Saccharomyces cerevisiae S288C: one gene and its partners. The gene in region 1 interacts genetically with each later gene. Each region holds a gene or a part of one and is shown in the gene's direction. Other genes may lie near its edges.

Region 1 (7,810 bases):
ATTCAGTACTGGACAGAAGCAGTGCCTCTAGCGGCTTGGATCGTGATCTTTTGGTGCCTGTTAACTTCAATGAACATGTTTCCCGTAAAGTATTACGGAGAATTTGAGTTTTGTATTGCCTCCATAAAGGTCATCGCGTTGCTCGGTTTTATCATTTTCTCATTCTGTGTTGTGTGTGGTGCGGGACAATCTGATGGACCCATCGGTTTCAGGTACTGGAGAAATCCAGGAGCCTGGGGGCCTGGCATTATCTCCAGTGATAAAAATGAGGGCCGTTTTCTCGGATGGGTTTCCTCTTTGATTAATGCTGCATTTACGTACCAAGGTACTGAACTGGTTGGGATAACCGCTGGTGAAGCGGCTAACCCAAGAAAAGCTCTCCCGAGGGCAATAAAGAAAGTTGTAGTGAGGATTCTAGTCTTTTACATTCTTTCACTATTTTTCATTGGCCTTTTGGTCCCATATAATGACCCAAAGTTGGATAGTGACGGTATATTTGTCTCTTCATCGCCCTTTATGATAAGCATTGAGAATTCAGGCACAAAAGTTCTCCCAGATATATTTAACGCGGTCGTGCTAATCACCATTCTTTCCGCAGGTAACTCTAATGTGTACATTGGCTCAAGAGTACTGTATAGTCTGTCTAAAAATAGCTTGGCGCCAAGGTTCTTGTCTAACGTGACCAGAGGTGGTGTTCCATACTTTTCTGTTCTATCTACATCCGTGTTCGGATTTTTGGCTTTCTTAGAGGTTTCTGCAGGCAGCGGCAAGGCCTTTAACTGGTTATTGAACATAACTGGTGTGGCCGGTTTCTTTGCCTGGCTTTTGATTTCATTTTCTCATATCCGTTTCATGCAAGCCATAAGGAAACGTGGTATATCGAGGGATGACTTACCTTATAAAGCTCAAATGATGCCTTTTTTGGCATATTATGCATCTTTTTTCATCGCTCTAATTGTTCTGATCCAGGGCTTCACCGCTTTCGCACCTACTTTTCAGCCTATAGACTTTGTCGCTGCATATATATCAATATTCCTATTTTTGGCCATATGGTTATCATTCCAAGTTTGGTTTAAGTGCCGCTTACTCTGGAAGCTGCAGGATATCGATATCGATTCTGACCGCCGGCAAATAGAGGAGTTGGTATGGATAGAGCCAGAATGTAAAACAAGGTGGCAACGAGTTTGGGATGTCCTTTCATAATTTTAGAATAATACTCCATACCACACACACACATATATATGTATGTATGTATGTATGTATGTATATGTATATTTGCCAAATCCTTGCTCAACTCTTTTCCTGTGATTATATGATTACTCCCTAGTTGTTTCGTTGTTAGCCGCCGAAAGTCATCGCCCGTAATTTCCATGGCTTACCCGACATCGGTTAGAGGAAGTTTTTGACGTGGAAGAGGGAAAGAAAGAAAAAACAGATGTGGAAAACTAGAATCCCTTTTAAGAACAATAGCACGGACCCTTCCTACAGATAAGAGGACACTGACGGCTGTGTGTTAATTATTTTCGTATTAAGCATAAAATTGGACAGTGGCATTCTTTTCTTCACCCTTCACGTTTTTTATACGTCTCATACAGTTGGGCCATTTTTTACTTTTTTTTTTGCCATTTGTATCTATCTTCTGTATTGAGGAGAAACATTTTAACTCAAGCCTAGTTAAATTCTAAATACACGCCACATAAAGAAGGCACCTGAACCTTTTCAACAAACGAGAAGCAAGAAAGGAAGAGAAGGAAAGGAAATGTTGAAGAATTCAGGCTCCAAACATTCGAACTCAAAGGAAAGTCATTCGAATTCGAGTTCTGGTATATTCCAAAATTTGAAGCGTTTGGCTAACTCAAATGCAACGAATAGCAATACGGGTTCTCCGACCTATGCATCCCAACAACAGCACTCTCCAGTGGGAAACGAAGTGTCCACTTCACCTGCATCTTCGTCATCTTTTAGAAAACTGAATGCACCTTCTAGGTCTACATCTACTGAGGCGAGGCCGTTGAATAAAAAATCGACATTAAACACACAAAACTTGTCTCAATATATGAATGGTAAATTAAGTGGAGATGTTCCCGTATCCTCACAGCACGCAAGGTCGCATTCAATGCAATCGAAATATTCGTATTCCAAGAGGAATTCTTCACAGGCGTCCAATAAGCTAACAAGGCAGCATACCGGGCAAAGTCACTCCGCATCAAGTCTTCTCTCTCAAGGTTCGCTAACTAACTTGAGCAAATTCACTACACCCGATGGTAAAATTTATTTAGAAATGCCGTCGGACCCATACGAGGTGGAAGTTTTGTTTGAAGATATTATGTATAAAAGAAATATTTTTCAGTCTTTATCAGAGGACAAACAAGAAGCTCTGATGGGCTACAGCATTGAGAAGAAATGGCTGATTGTTAAGCAGGATTTACAAAATGAGCTAAAAAAAATGCGAGCAAACACTACATCTTCTTCCACTGCCTCCAGAACTTCGATGGCGTCGGACCATCATCCTATCCTTACGGCTAATTCATCTCTTTCGTCTCCCAAATCTGTTTTGATGACAAGCGCCTCTTCTCCCACCTCAACTGTATACAGCAACAGTTTAAATCATTCTACTACTCTTTCATCGGTAGGTACGTCAACCTCGAAGGGGAAAAAATTAGTGAGCGGGAGTTTGAAAAAGCAGCCATCTCTAAACAATATTTATAGAGGTGGGGCTGAGAACAATACGAGTGCATCTACTCTTCCAGGAGACAGAACAAACAGACCACCGATACATTATGTGCAACGAATCCTGGCAGACAAACTTACTAGCGATGAGATGAAAGATTTATGGGTAACTTTAAGAACTGAACAGTTAGACTGGGTAGACGCTTTTATAGACCATCAGGGTCACATTGCTATGGCTAATGTACTAATGAACTCTATTTATAAGACTGCACCCCGAGAAAACTTGACTAAAGAATTATTAGAGAAAGAAAATTCATTTTTTAAATGCTTCAGAGTCTTATCAATGCTCTCACAAGGTTTGTATGAGTTCAGTACACATAGGTTAATGACTGATACTGTTGCAGAAGGTTTATTCTCTACGAAACTGGCCACAAGGAAAATGGCCACTGAAATTTTTGTTTGTATGCTAGAAAAAAAAAATAAAAGCAGATTCGAAGCAGTTCTTACCTCACTAGATAAAAAGTTTAGGATAGGGCAAAATCTTCATATGATTCAAAACTTCAAAAAAATGCCCCAGTATTTCTCTCATTTAACCTTGGAAAGTCATTTGAAAATTATTCAAGCCTGGTTATTTGCCGTTGAACAAACTTTAGATGGAAGAGGAAAAATGGGTTCCTTAGTAGGCGCGTCGGATGAATTTAAAAATGGTGGGGGTGAAAATGCGATTCTAGAATACTGCCAATGGACAATGGTTTTTATCAATCATTTATGCTCTTGCTCTGATAACATAAATCAAAGAATGCTATTAAGGACGAAACTAGAAAATTGTGGAATTTTACGAATTATGAACAAAATAAAACTGCTAGATTACGACAAGGTAATTGACCAAATTGAGTTATATGACAATAATAAACTTGACGATTTTAACGTTAAATTAGAGGCCAACAATAAGGCTTTTAATGTAGATTTACACGATCCACTATCATTATTAAAAAACCTTTGGGATATATGTAAAGGTACCGAGAATGAAAAGCTTTTAGTATCTTTAGTTCAACATCTTTTCCTTTCTAGTTCAAAGTTAATAGAAGAAAACCAAAATTCCTCTAAACTTACTAAGCAATTGAAACTTATGGATTCTTTGGTGACTAATGTTAGTGTTGCCTCAACTTCTGATGAAGAAACTAATATGAATATGGCTATCCAGCGGCTTTACGATGCCATGCAGACTGATGAAGTTGCACGTCGAGCTATATTAGAAAGTAGAGCTCTAACGAAGAAATTGGAAGAAATTCAGGCAGAAAGGGATTCTTTAAGTGAAAAGTTAAGCAAGGCGGAGCACGGACTCGTTGGACAGTTAGAAGATGAGTTGCATGAGAGAGATCGTATTTTAGCTAAGAATCAGAGAGTTATGCAGCAGCTGGAAGCTGAGTTAGAAGAGTTGAAAAAGAAGCATCTTTTGGAAAAGCATCAGCAAGAGGTAGAATTGAGAAAAATGTTGACTATATTGAATTCGAGGCCTGAAGAAAGCTTCAATAAGAATGAAGGCACCAGAGGTATGAACTCGAGCCTAAATTCTTCAGAGAAAGCGAATATCCAAAAGGTGTTACAGGACGGATTATCAAGAGCAAAAAAGGATTACAAGGATGATTCAAAAAAATTCGGCATGACACTTCAACCTAATAAGAGATTAAAAATGTTAAGAATGCAAATGGAAAATATTGAAAATGAAGCCAGGCAACTAGAGATGACAAATTTTGCTGAATTTGAGAAAGATCGTCTTGAACCTCCAATACATATTAAGAAGCCCAAAGTGAAGAAGATGAAAAATAAGGATAGGAAACCTTTAGTCAAGCCTCAAGAGGCGGACGTAAATAAACTAAATGACCTAAGGCGGGCTTTGGCTGAAATCCAAATGGAAAGTAATGATATTTCCAAATTTAACGTCGAAGAACGTGTTAATGAGCTATTTAATGAAAAGAAATCTCTGGCTTTAAAGAGACTGAAAGAACTAGAAACAAAATACAAAGGATTTGGTATTGACTTTAATGTCGACGAGATTATGGACAGTCCAAAGAAAAATACTGGGGACGTGGAAACGGAAGAAGACGCTAACTATGCCAGTCTTGACCCTAAGACATATCAGAAAAAGTTAGACGAGATTAATAGAATAACGGACCAGTTGTTAGATATTCAGACTCAAACCGAACACGAAATACAAGTAGAAGAAGATGGGGAAAGCGATCTTTCCTCTTCAAGTTCTGATGATGAAAGTGAGGAAATATACCAAGACGCATCTCCAACTCAAGAACTAAGGAGCGAACACTCAGAGCTATCTTCAGGATCAGGTCCTGGGTCTTTTCTCGATGCCTTATCTCAAAAATATGGTACTGGTCAAAATGTTACTGCATCGGCTGCTTTTGGAGAGAACAATAACGGTTCGGGTATTGGACCTCTACATAGTAAAGTTGAAAAGACCTTTATGAACAGACTCAGAAAATCCACCGTGTCTTCTGCTCCATATTTAGAGGAGTTAACACAGAAGGTAAATAAAGTTGAACCATATGAACAAAATGAAGATGAAGGTCTAGATAAAAAATCTTTACCGGAAAACAGCACGGCAAGTGCAGCTTCCGCCTTTGACAAAGCTGAGAAAGACATGAGACAACATGTGGAAAACGGAAAGCAAGGGCGTGTGGTAAATCATGAAGAAGATAAAACAGCGGATTTCAGCGCTGTGAGTAAACTGAATAATACAGATGGCGCAGAAGATCTCTCTACTCAATCATCTGTACTCTCCTCACAGCCGCCACCGCCTCCTCCTCCTCCTCCTCCAGTTCCCGCCAAATTGTTCGGTGAATCGTTGGAGAAAGAGAAAAAGTCGGAAGACGACACTGTCAAGCAAGAAACTACTGGGGATTCTCCTGCTCCTCCCCCTCCACCACCACCACCTCCTCCTCCACCCATGGCATTGTTCGGCAAACCCAAGGGAGAAACACCACCACCGCCGCCGCTACCATCTGTATTATCTTCATCTACTGATGGCGTCATTCCGCCAGCTCCACCTATGATGCCGGCATCGCAAATCAAATCAGCTGTAACATCACCATTACTTCCTCAATCGCCCTCATTATTTGAAAAGTATCCTCGTCCACACAAGAAATTAAAGCAACTGCATTGGGAAAAATTAGATTGTACTGATAATTCTATTTGGGGTACAGGTAAAGCTGAGAAGTTCGCAGATGACTTATACGAAAAGGGTGTTCTTGCTGATTTAGAAAAGGCCTTTGCCGCTAGGGAAATTAAATCATTAGCAAGCAAGCGCAAGGAAGATCTGCAGAAAATTACATTTTTATCCAGGGATATTTCTCAACAGTTTGGTATCAATTTGCATATGTATTCATCACTTTCGGTTGCCGATCTGGTGAAAAAGATTCTAAACTGCGATAGGGATTTTTTGCAAACACCGAGTGTTGTTGAGTTTTTGTCAAAATCTGAAATAATTGAAGTTTCTGTTAATTTAGCTAGGAATTACGCCCCGTATTCGACAGACTGGGAGGGCGTGAGGAATCTCGAAGATGCCAAGCCCCCTGAAAAAGATCCAAACGATTTACAGAGGGCTGACCAAATTTATTTGCAATTGATGGTTAATCTAGAATCATACTGGGGTTCACGTATGAGAGCTCTCACAGTGGTTACTTCGTATGAAAGAGAATATAATGAGTTATTGGCAAAGTTAAGAAAAGTCGACAAAGCTGTTAGCGCGCTTCAAGAATCAGATAACTTGCGCAATGTCTTTAATGTTATCTTAGCAGTTGGTAATTTCATGAACGACACTTCTAAGCAGGCACAAGGTTTCAAACTTTCAACCTTGCAGAGGTTGACGTTTATCAAGGATACTACCAATAGCATGACCTTTCTAAATTACGTCGAAAAAATTGTCAGGTTAAATTATCCAAGCTTCAATGACTTTCTAAGTGAATTAGAACCTGTATTGGATGTCGTGAAAGTTTCCATTGAGCAGTTAGTTAACGACTGTAAGGACTTTAGCCAATCGATTGTAAACGTAGAGCGTTCAGTTGAAATTGGTAATTTAAGCGATTCCTCAAAGTTTCATCCATTAGATAAAGTTTTGATAAAAACATTGCCCGTGTTACCGGAAGCCAGAAAAAAGGGGGACTTGTTAGAAGACGAAGTTAAGCTGACTATCATGGAATTTGAAAGTCTGATGCATACGTACGGTGAAGATTCTGGTGATAAGTTTGCAAAAATCTCATTCTTTAAGAAATTTGCAGATTTTATAAATGAATACAAAAAAGCTCAAGCGCAAAATCTAGCCGCGGAAGAAGAAGAAAGACTTTATATAAAGCATAAGAAAATAGTGGAAGAACAGCAAAAAAGGGCACAAGAAAAGGAAAAACAAAAAGAGAACAGCAATTCGCCTTCATCTGAAGGAAATGAAGAGGATGAAGCAGAAGATAGGCGCGCTGTTATGGATAAACTATTAGAACAGTTGAAAAATGCAGGTCCTGCTAAAAGTGACCCATCTTCCGCCAGAAAGAGAGCCCTAGTGAGGAAAAAATATCTTTCTGAAAAAGACAACGCTCCACAATTACTCAACGATTTGGATACTGAAGAAGGGTCTATTCTTTATTCTCCAGAAGCTATGGACCCTACTGCCGATACAGTGATTCACGCTGAATCACCCACTCCGCTTGCCACAAGGGGTGTTATGAATACCTCTGAAGATTTACCATCGCCATCCAAGACATCTGCGCTGGAAGATCAAGAGGAAATTAGTGACAGAGCTAGAATGTTATTAAAGGAGCTAAGAGGCTCTGACACACCAGTAAAGCAAAATTCCATACTCGATGAACATCTAGAAAAATTGAGGGCCCGCAAGGAAAGATCCATAGGTGAGGCTAGCACAGGTAACAGGCTAAGTTTCAAATAAAATATTAAACCAAAAAATTATGACAACAGTAATACCAAAACAAACATCCAAACAAGCACTAGTACAAAGAAATAGTCACGAATCATTAAATCACATATATATATATAATTTTAATGTTTATAGATCACTTATGATACACTTTACATTCATCTTTACTCAAATGATCTCTACTATTGCATTTTTGAAATA
Region 2 (4,789 bases), on another chromosome or scaffold:
CTGGGATTGGATATATCCTGGTGAAGCAAAGCGACCACAGGAACGATTTTAGCATTAGTACAATGAGATAAAGAGACAACGCTTAAAGGGCAGTCATTAATCTTGTAAATAAATATTTAAACCCTTTTATTGGTTAAAAATAATGTACATACGCACATAATTTATTTTTAAAGAAAAGATTTTGTAATTTGAAGTCATCACGTTTGCCCACATCAATATCTGAATATTCTTTGAACTTTACTTTATGCTTTCATATATACAGGTCGAATATAACTTATTTACTACGTGAATAGTGAAGGGGATATACTGATTAAAAAAATCACACTAGAGAATCAAATATAAAAATAGAGTGCATACACTTGGTACATTTATTCTCTTTTTTGTTTTTCCAAAAATTCAAAAACCCTCGCCCCAATAGCTTCCATGTCCTCTTCAGTTAGTTTTGGTACTTCTCTCTCAGCCAACTCCTTTTTTTCTGCCAAATGGCTTTTTCTTACCTCTGTTAGGGGCATCTCAGGTGCTACTAGCTTAGCTATATCTTTCGCTGTCAAGGTACCCCTTTTGTACTTAGAATGAGGATTGCGAATACTTGGTATTGCCTTTTTTGGAATAGGGTTTCTCACTACGGAATCGACCCAAAATGTTTGTTCTCTAGCAATTACAGGATCGGTAGCCAAGTTCGTTTGCACATCAATTGGGTCTGGTTTAGGCCATGGAATGATCAAGTCTGGTTGACCCTTTACGCATCTATATGGCATTACCTTTTTGTAGTCTGCATCATAGTAGGAACCATTGAAGGAAACATCCCTTACTGCCACCGTTCTTGTCTTTCCTGGGGTCTTTTCATCGTCAATATCAGCAACTAGCCTTAAATCCTTTCCCAAAATTGAAACTGGAATTGTTATCATGTGAGATGTTTGGCCTTCAAGCCAGAATTGTTTAGGAACTGGAACAGTCTTTGTGGGCCCATTCTCATCTAATATGAATGAATTTGTTCTTTTATCGAAAGATTTAATTACAGCTATATTTCCTTTGGAAGCCCCGCTCATTACTACTACTCTGTCGCCAGGTATAAACTTCCATTCTTTTTCACTCTTGAAACTAGTTTTCTCATCTACTTCCTTTAAATCTGACTTCATGAACTCAGGCGTAGATTTTTTAATGAACTTTTCACTATGAGGAAGAAAGTTTTTGGGTCGATTCCCCAATCTTTTCATAACACGCGATCCAACGTTTGATAAATGTTGATAGCTTCCAGACATGATGGATTACAAATTTTGTTGCTGATAATGTTCTTTACGGTGGATTACTCTTATCAGGTAATCCTTAAGTAGCTGTTAAAGAGCAGTAGGTACTTTTGAATCTAACATGTCGTTATTTTTCATGTCGCTTTTCAACCGGGTATTTTACAATGCTTAACAAAAAATGCATATATGTTGAAAAGTCACTTATGTAAACGTACAGTTGTAAGGTGCTTTCTTTTTACTCTAACCTCCACACTGAGATTGTTGGCGTAACTGTAGAGAGTTACTCATATGCTGCTAGACTTTATGTTGTACTTTACTTTTGCAAAGTACATAATACTATTCTAGATTCGATCTCCATCAACCTCGCAGTACAGCCTTGGACAAATGCGCAATGCAGGTGTTCAAGTTGACACAAATATGCAGAAGATAAGCTTACAGGACACAGTTCTAGTCAACGAGATGAAGGGGCGGGTGAAATTCATTGGGGAAACTCAATTTGCAAAAGGCATATGGTACGGCATTGAACTAGATAAACCGTTAGGAAAGAATGATGGAAGCGCTAACGGTATTCGTTACTTTGATATCGACCTGAAGAAAGCTAATTCAAATGGTGGTTATTATGGTCTTTTCTGCAAGAAAGATACGTTGCAGTTTTATAAACCAGATGACGATGAGCATAGTTTGCTAAATGGTAATGCAGCGCAAGAAACAATTAAGAATCTACAAGTAAAATGTGAATCATTGGCGTCCAAATTAAATAAAATTAAAATAGAAAATCATGAGCTGAAAACTTCCGTTGAAAAGCTGAGTACTAATGAAACTGTTCTATTGTCTAAAATCTCAAGATTGGATAAACTAGTCAAAGAACTGAAAGTGGAAAATGGTAATATGAAAACTCATTTGGATAATTTCAATCACCTATTAGATGCTTCAGATAGTGTAATGGCACCGGATCTCGACAAAGGCACACTGTTAGAAAGGAGCCATCTTCTTCAGGGACTACTCGACCAAACAAAGTTGTCATATGATAAAGCTATGAAGGTGCAAGAGGACCTGCTCGAGGAGAATACTCAGTTATTAGAAGAAAATGCAGTATTATCTAAAAAAATATCGGATTTAGGTCTGCAATTGCAACAGACTAATAATACAATCGGCGACCTTGCCTTGCAGATTGAAGCTCAAAGTAAATCATCTAATATTGTTGATAAATTGACTAATGATAATATCCTACTCACAAGTAATATAAAGGCTTTAAACAATGAGTTGGAGGAACTACAGGCAAAAGAAAAATTGGATGAAAATTTAAGAATTACCTATGAGCAACTCGAGCAAGAACTGAGACTGCAATTAAGTAATTTGCAATCTGCATTGGAAAATGAAAAGGAGATAGCAGGCACATATATCGAAGAAAATTCAAGATTAAAAGCAACATTGGAATCTATTGAAGCCAAAACATCTCACAAATTTCAAAGTCTTGAACTAAAAGTGAACACTTTACAGGAGGAATTATATCAAAATAAATTGCTAAAGAAATTTTACCAAATATATGAGCCATTTGCACAACCACATTTGGCGGCTCTTTCCTCTCAATTGCAATATTTAGCCGAAGTAATCGAAAGTGAAAATTTTGGAAAGTTGGAGAATATTGAAATCCATATAATTCTAAAAGTGTTGAGCTCTATCAGTTATGCGCTTCATATTTACACCATAAAGAATACTCCCGATCACCTGGAAACGACATTACAATGTTTCAAAGTAAATATTGCTCCGATTTCGATGTGGCTAAGCGAGTTTTTGCAAAGGAAGTTTTCTTCTAAACAGGAAACCGCCTTTTCCATTTGTCAGTTTTTAGAAGATAATAAGTTTCTAGATAAGGATGTGACCTTGATACTAAAAATACTTCATCCGATATTGGAAACAACTGTTCCGAAGCTGTTGGCTTTTCTTAGAACGAACAGCAATTTCAATGACAATGATACCCTATGTCTTATTGGTTCCCTTTACGAGAGATCACTTTCACTTATTGCCAGAATAGATAAACTTATCGGAAAGGAAGAAATTTCGAAACAAGACAATAGGTTATTTTTATATCCTTCCTGTGATATAACCCTGTCCTCTATCTTAACGATACTTTTTTCAGATGCACTGTTTTTGCGACAAGATTACAAACGTATTTCTTCTTTGAAAAAACTAGAGGTATTTTTTCAAGGAATAGAAAGTCTCTTAGAAAACATAACTATATTTCCTGAGCAACCCAGTCAACAAACAAGTGATTCAGAAAGTCAATGTAATATTAAGGAGGGCAATTTTTCAAACTCGTTATTAAGCGATCGCTTGAATGAAGAGAACATTCGACTCAAAGAAGTACTGGTCCAAAAGGAAAATATGCTAACTGAATTGGAAACAAAAATTAAAATTATTATTGGGAGGGATTTAGAGAGGAAAACCCTTGAAGAGAATATCAAAACACTCAAAGTAGAGTTAAATAACAAAAATGAGGAAAATTGTGGCAAAACAGAAATTCTTAACAAGCTGAAAGAAGAAAATTTCAACCTAGTAAACCGTTTGAAGAATATGGAGCTCAAACTATATCAAATAAAGGATAATAATACGTTGAACAAAATTTATTTAGACAGAGAGAAAGTAGATAGAGTAAATTTAGTTTCGGAAATCATGGAATTGAGAGAAACCATAAGACGACAAATAAAAGAGCAGAAACGAGTGAGCATCGATTTCAGCTGGTTAGACGAGCTTCCAGCTGTGGAAAATAAGCAACCATTCAAAGAACATATCAACCACAGTTTGGACACCTTGGGGATAGAAATGTTCAACTTCGTGAGTACCTCACGGATTTTAGATTTAAAGCTTGATCAACCTTTGGCAGAAGATGAACTCTGGCATGAAAGAGATCATTCTTACATTTCGTATTTAAAGCGCAAGAGGAAAAATATACGACTCAAATCTCAAAATGTTGTTACATATTACAAATGACTGAGTGATTCTAGCAGGTCTATAACATTCAAATACAGTAAATAAATGGATACAACATTCCTTTGTTTTGTGTAAAGTTTAAGTTTCTCTTGCTTCCTTCGTCTCGTTAGACACTGTTTTCTTGGGCCATTTTGGAGCTAGATCGATTTCATCCCTGGGGTATAGCCACTCTAAGAGGAAAAAAAGCATGTACTCTACAATTCCACATAACAGATAAAGATGTTTAGCCCAGATTCCATCTCTTTTGTAAAGATTTGCTACCATTTTCATCCAATCTTTATCATCAGCGGAAGAAGTAGAAGATATATTAGTATATATCTCTACTGTCCTTTTGGCTACGTCCATCCAGTCGTACATTTTAGACACGCTATCATGAAAAGAGGAAGTGTCCAAAGCTTTACTTCTTATGATATTGATAGCTTTATTTGTTGCTTGAACAAGGTCAGAAACGGATGTCTGTTCTGCATAAACAGTCATCTCATTTGGTAACACTTCGGGAATTCCTCCGACTTGTGTCGTTACAATTAGCAAATTACAAGATGCGGCCTCAA
Region 3 (3,669 bases), on another chromosome or scaffold:
GATTTCTCGCTTCTTAGTGAGTCATTACTTTGTTTTCTACCAATGAAGTTTAAGAAAGATTTAGAACTTCTGATCAACTGTGGCGGGTTATTAGACGAATTTTCACGGTCATGATGATGGTCATTATGATGACCATGGAATGGGTTTCTCGACAATAGATTAGGCATCTTTATACGAGAAATAGTTCTACCGTATTATTATAATTATTAGTGTTATTATTTTTGTTTTCGATCAATTCTAGCGGAGCTACAATGTGGTAGTCAAACGCTGCTATTGTATTTAATTCCGGCTCGAGACCAGTCTGGAAAGTCGACGTATATCGTTACTACTATCCTTTTTTTATTATTCCTACTATTTCCTTATTGAAAAAGTGGAAAACTGTTAAATCTGGAAATTCTTCACGATTCTAGAAAAATAGGAGGTGAAGAAGATTTCTAAGCTTTTTGAAAAAAACGGGAAAAGGAAGAGGCCCAAAAAAGTGAAAAAAAACTGTGTGTGTGAAATGTAAACGAACTTTGCTCCCTCTAGGAAAAACTTCTTTAAGCGGTTGGGAACTGTCTTGGGCTTACTTGTTTGTAAACAGTTGTATGAATGATTCTATATGCTAATTCTCAGTTTGTCTCTCTTAAAGATTTGTCACTCTGAAATATATAGCCAAATAGAACTAGGCGAAGAAAAAGAAAAGGGGCGGCGACGACGTAGGGGTCAGGTAGAAGAGTTGGGCACTTATTGGCGATATAAAAGACAAAATACACTAATGCAAGAGTATGGTGAGCGAAAGGAAAATAAAGAAAGGCTACGTTATTGACGGATATATGAATCAAGACACAAGACTATTTTGTATAGTAAGCAGAACCGGCTTGTGTTTGTGATTCATGGATCAACGAGACGGTAGCGAATAAGCACCAACGGAAAAAAAGAAAACATACGCATACATGCACGTACAAGATAAAAAAAGCACAGGTGTGGTGGTAGTATTGGGATAACCAGGCACACGCTACTGCGAGATAGCAAAAGACCCTTCCCGTAAACCGCTCGGATAAACCGATTTTGTCCTTTAGCGTGACACGGATTATACGCGGGGATCCGGCGTCACAAGCCACGGCCCGTCCCGTCCGCGTGGTTTTTAATTCTGGCTCCGCGTAGTACATTTTGTAGCTTGCCTTTTTTCCGGCTTCTAGAAAACTGGAAAAACCATAAGAAAAAAATGGGAAGGGGAAAACAAAAACCATTCAGGTCTTGCGTGCCGAGAATTTTTTTTTTCTCTTTTTCGTTGTCAACTTTTGCAGTAGCAGCCGCTGGCGACCCGGACGGTAGCCATGGCAACGGTTAGCTAATGGTAGGTAAATAAAACGAGTAACGACGTTTTAGTATATCTTGGTAAACTACAATTAGATCTTAAAACGGTTCCTGAAAAAGTGCTTTCATCTACCATTGAATTTAATTCACTTCCCTTTATGGAATTTGCACTGGTTTTGTGCTGTGGGATGTGGGTGTTTTGAAATATTTTCAGCTTGCAAGTCGTGCATATTGCACTTGTTTCTTATTTTTGGCGAGTGTAAACGTAATAGGTAATCTTAGTATTGGGCCATCGTCGCCCAGATAGCCATTGATAAAGCAGCTAGGTTCGTCGTCCGGTTGTTGGTATACACCTGTGCGTGCGTAAGTGTAGAAAAAAATAGAAATGACTAACTGGCAGCAACAGCTTCCTTTAACAGATACACAGAAAAATGAACTCGATAAAAGTGTCCTCCGATATTTGAATTGGAATTACAAACAAACTGTACGACATGAGCATGCTCAAGATTACGAAAGTGTTCGACATGCAATTGTAACTCTATCAGGTTTTCTGTTGCAAGAATCAGTGGACCGGCAAGAATTCATCAGTAACAATGACACCAGTAACGAAAGTATGGTAGACATTGATGAATTACTGCTACCGAAGAAGTGGAACTCAATTGTTAGACTACAAAAAAAAATCATTGAATTGGAGCAGAATACAGAGACCCTTGTATCTCAGATTAAAGATTTGAACACTCAAGTGTCAGAACTAGCACAATTCAAACCTACCACCAGTAACGGCACCAGCGCACATAATGTTTTGAAATGGATACCGAGAAATCTACCAAGCTGTTTAATTAATGTTGAATCATCTGTCACTTCCGTCAAACTACATCCCAATTTGCCTATAGTGTTTGTGGCCACAGATCATGGCAAATTATACGCATTTGATTTATTTAACTACACCATCCCTCTGGCATCCTTGCAAAGTCATACCAAGGCAATTACCTCCATGGATGTTTTATTTACCAATTATACGAACTCCAGCAAGAAGAACTATTTGGTGATCGTTACCGCGTCTAAAGATTTGCAGATTCATGTTTTCAAGTGGGTCTCCGAGGAATGCAAGTTCCAACAAATTAGGTCTTTATTGGGCCATGAGCATATTGTCTCTGCGGTAAAAATCTGGCAGAAAAATAATGATGTCCATATAGCGTCCTGTTCCAGAGATCAAACTGTTAAAATTTGGGACTTCCACAATGGTTGGTCGTTGAAAACATTTCAGCCTCATTCCCAATGGGTTCGTTCCATAGACGTTCTAGGCGATTACATCATCTCTGGTTCACATGACACTACATTAAGGTTAACACATTGGCCATCAGGTAATGGTCTTAGTGTTGGCACGGGTCATGAATTTCCCATAGAGAAAGTTAAATTTATTCATTTCATCGAAGACTCTCCGGAGATAAGGTTTAGAACACCATCAACGGATCGATATAAGAATTGGGGGATGCAATATTGTGTCTCAGCGTCAAGAGATAGAACGATAAAAATCTGGGAGATACCTCTACCTACGTTAATGGCCCATAGAGCACCCATACCGAATCCTACAGATTCAAATTTCAGATGTGTTCTTACGTTGAAGGGGCATCTTTCGTGGGTTAGAGATATTAGTATTCGAGGCCAATACTTGTTTTCTTGTGCTGATGATAAATCTGTCAGATGTTGGGATCTGAACACGGGGCAGTGCTTACACGTTTGGGAAAAGTTGCATACAGGATTTGTCAACTGTTTAGACCTGGATGTGGATTTCGATTCTAACGTTACCCCAAGGCAAATGATGGTCACTGGTGGATTGGATTGCAAGTCTAACGTTTTCATGAGATAAGTTTGGCTTTCCTATTTCTTTTTCCCTTTTTTTTGACTCTTTTTAAGCATTGGTTGATACTTTAAATACTTTATTGAATTAGCATTGATAGTATATAATAAGGTTTACTCACTATATAGTAGCATCATTTATTATTTAATGAAGTACTTAAATGTTTCGCTTTTTTTAAAAGTCCTCAAAATTTAGCTTGAAGCGGAAGAGCTTGCACTAGCAACAGCGACTTCCATGTCTTTATACTCAAATGCGAATGGTTCGTATGGTAAACCTTCACCCACGAAAAACTTGGACATAGATTCAACCCAGTGCAAACGTAAGGAATGAAGCATGGCAGATGTACCTTCCATCAAAACAAGAACTGCACATGTTAGTGCGAACCACATGGCAAAAAGTGCAACCGTCATAAACACACCCACAAATCCTCTAAATCCAAAGGCAATTTGAATTGTCATTGTCCATAAAACACTAGACAATTGAGCATGTGCCAATGATAAGGCCCATAA
Region 4 (4,688 bases), on another chromosome or scaffold:
ACAATTTCGTTCTCAATATCTAAAACACTCAATGACTCTGCATTACGAACGACGGGGGTAACCAAACCCTTTGGAGTGGCCACAGCAACAGAAATATCTGTGTAATCACGATAAACAATCTGGTCACCTTCAATGGCACCATTGACGGCTGGAATATCCTTGGCGGCCAAGGTACATGCTTTGGAGAAAAGACCCATGAATCCGAATTTAGTACCGGTCTTCTTAATAATCTCATCTTTATACAGTTTCCTCATTTCCATCAAAGCTGACATGTCAACTTCGTTGAATGTGGTTAAGGAAGCAGCAGTGTTTTGAGACTCTTTTAATCTTTCGGCAATCCTCAATCTCATACGGTTCATTTTGACCCTGGTTTCTGTACGTGGAAATGGTGTGAAAGAGTTAGAGGCTACTGGGGGTTCCTGCGCCTTAGAGACGGTCTTCTTTGGTTGATCAGCCTTTTTTGGTTCTGTAACTTCTTTCTTTGGAGCGGCTTCTTTCTTTGGAGCAGCTTCTTTCTTTGAAGCCGTTTCCTCACTTGAGTTTTCCCTTGCGGCGACACCTTGCGATGGCTCCGCTTGTTCGGTAGGCTCTGGCTTAGATTCTCCAGAACCCTCAGCAGGTGCTTCACCAGGCTCGACCTGAGCTAACTCCTCACCAACAGTGACAGTGTCCTCTGGTTTGAAATTTAGCTTCGTAACAGTACCTGATACTGGCGAATTGACCTCAATATCAATTTTATCGGTCTCAATAGTGGCCAACAGCTCGTCCTCCTTAATAAAATCACCAACGTTTTTAGTATATTCCTTTAAAGAGCCTTCAGTCAGGGACTCTGCCATCGGAGGAACTTCAATAGAGGTAGATTTAAAACGATTGCTAGTTATGGAGAACGGATTCGCCGCAACTGAAATTTTCTTGCCGGATAAATATATTGAACCTAAGGATTCGACCTTGTTAGCTTGTTTGAACAAACTTGTAGAAGCATGTCTCTTGACGAAAGAAGCAGCCATAACATTTCTAGCCACTTTAGATTTTACTAAGGATTTGGCAGCTGCAGTACGCGTCGCTCTGGAAAGCATTGTTTAAATAATTATCTGAAGTTGTGTCTTTGGTTGTAACAAATGTGGTAGTGAAGTTTATAACAATATATCTATTCACTGATATATACCGTTAAAGATAGCTGCCTAATTTTTTATTTCGGATTTTTCTTTTTTTTACGTTAGATATTTCCTCCCCTGAAGCTCAAAAAGAGATTATATATGAAAAGTAGGCCTAGTTGAGGGAAAAAGGATTTGCATTTGCTGATAGACCAAGTGTGGATCCGAGCCCTGTAGTAGAATGGTGCTAATGTAGAATAAGAATAAGCTTTAGGAACCATAGATTCCTGCGTAATTTGTGGCCGCTTTATTGGCTCACTCCGGGCAGGACCTTAGTTTTGATTGGCTGCAAAAAAAGGGTTGTTAATATCGTCTTTGACGGAGATGCGGGTGGCTGGAATTGTTTTGTTTATTATTCCCCAAGAGAGAAGAGACAAGAAGTAGTAATGACGATGGAACAAAGATCGGTTCTAATAGGACCACAGGGTTGAATAGAGACGAGTAAAGACGCAACGGTCAAGGCTTTCCACGAGACGTTCGAATATGTCCCACAACAACAGGCATAAAAAGAATAACGATAAAGACAGCTCAGCAGGGCAGTATGCAAATAGCATTGACAATTCATTAAGCCAGGAAAGCGTCTCAACGAACGGCGTAACAAGGATGGCTAACTTAAAGGCTGATGAATGCGGCAGTGGTGATGAAGGAGATAAAACAAAGCGGTTTTCGATTTCAAGTATTTTGAGTAAAAGAGAGACAAAAGACGTGCTTCCGGAATTTGCAGGCAGTAGTTCCCACAATGGAGTACTCACGGCGAATTCATCAAAGGATATGAACTTTACTTTGGAACTAAGCGAGAATTTGTTGGTTGAGTGTAGGAAATTGCAATCCTCTAATGAAGCTAAAAATGAGCAAATCAAGTCTCTCAAGCAAATTAAAGAGTCATTAAGTGACAAGATTGAGGAGCTCACTAACCAAAAAAAGTCCTTCATGAAAGAGTTGGATTCAACTAAAGATTTAAACTGGGATTTAGAATCTAAATTAACAAACTTGAGCATGGAATGTAGGCAATTAAAAGAATTGAAGAAAAAGACTGAAAAATCTTGGAATGATGAAAAAGAAAGCCTGAAACTTCTGAAAACAGATTTGGAAATTTTAACATTAACAAAAAATGGCATGGAAAATGATCTTAGCTCTCAAAAACTTCATTACGATAAAGAGATTAGTGAATTAAAGGAAAGGATTTTAGACTTAAATAATGAAAACGACAGATTACTTATTAGTGTTTCTGATCTAACAAGTGAAATTAATTCCTTACAGAGCAATAGAACTGAAAGAATAAAAATTCAAAAGCAACTTGATGACGCCAAAGCATCTATTTCTTCGTTAAAAAGAAAAGTACAAAAGAAGTATTATCAAAAACAGCATACTTCCGATACTACAGTAACATCTGATCCTGATTCTGAGGGGACCACTAGTGAAGAAGACATTTTTGATATAGTGATCGAAATTGACCACATGATTGAAACAGGCCCCTCTGTCGAGGACATTTCTGAAGATCTTGTCAAGAAATACTCAGAAAAAAACAATATGATATTGTTATCGAATGATTCATATAAAAACTTACTACAAAAAAGTGAAAGTGCATCCAAACCAAAAGACGATGAATTAATGACCAAAGAGGTGGCTGAAAACCTGAATATGATCGCGTTACCAAATGATGACAATTACAGCAAAAAAGAGTTTTCGTTAGAATCTCATATTAAATATTTAGAAGCTTCTGGCTATAAAGTTCTTCCTCTAGAGGAGTTTGAGAACCTAAACGAATCCCTATCAAATCCATCATATAACTATCTCAAGGAAAAACTTCAGGCTTTGAAAAAGATACCCATCGATCAAAGTACGTTTAACTTGTTAAAAGAGCCTACTATTGATTTTTTACTGCCTTTAACATCCAAAATTGATTGCCTGATAATACCTACCAAAGATTATAATGACCTTTTTGAGAGTGTCAAGAATCCATCAATTGAACAAATGAAAAAATGCCTGGAAGCAAAGAACGACTTACAATCGAATATTTGTAAATGGCTGGAGGAGAGAAACGGCTGTAAATGGCTAAGTAATGATCTGTATTTTTCAATGGTTAATAAGATAGAAACACCTTCGAAACAATACCTGTCAGATAAGGCAAAAGAATACGACCAAGTGCTGATTGATACTAAAGCCTTAGAAGGTTTAAAGAACCCAACGATAGACTTTCTAAGAGAAAAAGCTTCTGCATCAGATTATTTATTACTCAAAAAAGAAGACTACGTGAGCCCATCACTGGAATACCTAGTTGAACATGCCAAGGCCACCAATCACCATTTACTATCGGATAGTGCATACGAAGACCTAGTCAAGTGCAAGGAGAATCCTGATATGGAATTCTTGAAGGAGAAGTCTGCCAAACTAGGCCACACTGTGGTATCCAACGAGGCATATTCTGAATTGGAAAAGAAACTAGAACAACCATCACTGGAATACCTAGTTGAACATGCCAAGGCGACCAATCACCATTTACTATCGGATAGTGCATACGAAGACCTAGTCAAGTGCAAGGAGAATCCTGATATGGAATTCTTGAAGGAGAAGTCTGCCAAACTAGGCCATACTGTGGTATCCAACGAGGCATATTCTGAATTGCAACGCAAATACTCAGAATTGGAGAAGGAAGTAGAACAACCATCTCTAGCATACTTAGTTGAACACGCCAAGGCTACCGATCACCATTTACTATCGGATAGTGCATACGAAGACCTAGTCAAGTGCAAGGAGAATCCTGATGTGGAATTCTTGAAGGAGAAGTCTGCTAAACTAGGCCATACTGTGGTATCTAGCGAGGAATATTCTGAATTGCAACGCAAATACTCAGAATTGGAGAAGGAAGTAGAACAACCATCACTAGCATACCTAGTCGAACACGCCAAGGCTACCGATCACCATTTACTATCGGATAGTGCATACGAAGAACTAGTCAAGTGCAAGGAGAATCCTGATATGGAATTCTTGAAGGAGAAGTCTGCCAAACTAGGCCACACTGTGGTATCCAACGAGGCATATTCTGAATTGGAAAAGAAACTAGAACAACCATCACTAGCATACCTAGTCGAACATGCCAAGGCTACCGATCACCATCTGCTATCGGATAGTGCATACGAAGACCTAGTCAAGTGCAAGGAAAATTCTGATGTAGAATTCTTGAAGGAGAAGTCTGCTAAACTAGGCCATACTGTGGTATCCAACGAAGCATATTCTGAATTGGAAAAGAAACTAGAACAACCATCACTAGCATACCTAGTCGAACATGCCAAGGCTACCGATCACCATCTGCTATCGGATAGTGCATACGAAGACCTAGTCAAGTGCAAGGAGAATCCTGATATGGAATTCTTGAAGGAGAAGTCTGCCAAACTAGGCCACACTGTGGTATCCAACGAGGCATATTCTGAATTGGAAAAGAAACTAGAACAACCATCACTGGAATACCTAGTTGAACATGCCAAGGCCACCAATCACCATTTACTATCGGATAGTGCATACGAAGACCTAGTC

The links.
Region 2: mutations in BNI1 (region 1) and NIP100 are lethal when combined (synthetic lethality), as found in Saccharomyces cerevisiae (7 studies listed by BioGRID, with this or other methods).
Region 3: mutations in BNI1 (region 1) and PAC1 are lethal when combined (synthetic lethality), as found in Saccharomyces cerevisiae (5 studies listed by BioGRID, with this or other methods).
Region 4: mutations in BNI1 (region 1) and NUM1 are lethal when combined (synthetic lethality), as found in Saccharomyces cerevisiae (5 studies listed by BioGRID, with this or other methods).

What each region holds. Positions count from the first base shown.
Region 1 is NC_001146.8:129,333-137,142, reverse strand, and holds BNI1 (formin BNI1), read left to right. Parts: upstream 1-1,759; coding exon 1,760-7,621; downstream 7,622-7,810. Other genes in the region: arginine permease ALP1, read left to right, coding at 1-1,203. UniProt on the Saccharomyces cerevisiae protein: Required for the assembly of F-actin structures, such as actin cables and stress fibers. Nucleates actin filaments. Binds to the barbed end of the actin filament and acts as a leaky capper, slowing both polymerization and depolymerization.
Region 2 is NC_001148.4:219,616-224,404, reverse strand, and holds NIP100 (Nip100p), read left to right. Parts: upstream 1-1,631; coding exon 1,632-4,238; downstream 4,239-4,789. Other genes in the region: COX10 (protoheme IX farnesyltransferase), read left to right, coding at 1-52; mitochondrial 54S ribosomal protein uL24m MRPL40, read right to left, coding at 369-1,262; phosphatidylinositol N-acetylglucosaminyltransferase SPT14, read right to left, coding at 4,317-4,789. UniProt on the Saccharomyces cerevisiae protein: Motor-binding component of the dynactin complex which assists cytoplasmic dynein by increasing its processivity and by regulation of its cargo binding.
Region 3 is NC_001147.6:824,701-828,369, forward strand, and holds PAC1 (Pac1p), read left to right. Parts: upstream 1-1,684; coding exon 1,685-3,169; downstream 3,170-3,669. Other genes in the region: putative serine/threonine protein kinase HRK1, read right to left, coding at 1-167; YOR268C (uncharacterized protein), read right to left, coding at 834-1,232; VPH1 (H(+)-transporting V0 sector ATPase subunit a), read right to left, coding at 3,352-3,669.
Region 4 is NC_001136.10:753,991-758,678, forward strand, and holds the start of NUM1 (Num1p), read left to right. Parts: upstream 1-1,637; coding exon 1,638-4,688. Other genes in the region: KGD2 (dihydrolipoyl transsuccinylase), read right to left, coding at 1-1,076. UniProt on the Saccharomyces cerevisiae protein: Controls nuclear migration. NUM1 specifically controls the interaction of the bud neck cytoskeleton with the pre-divisional G2 nucleus. Functions in dynein-anchoring.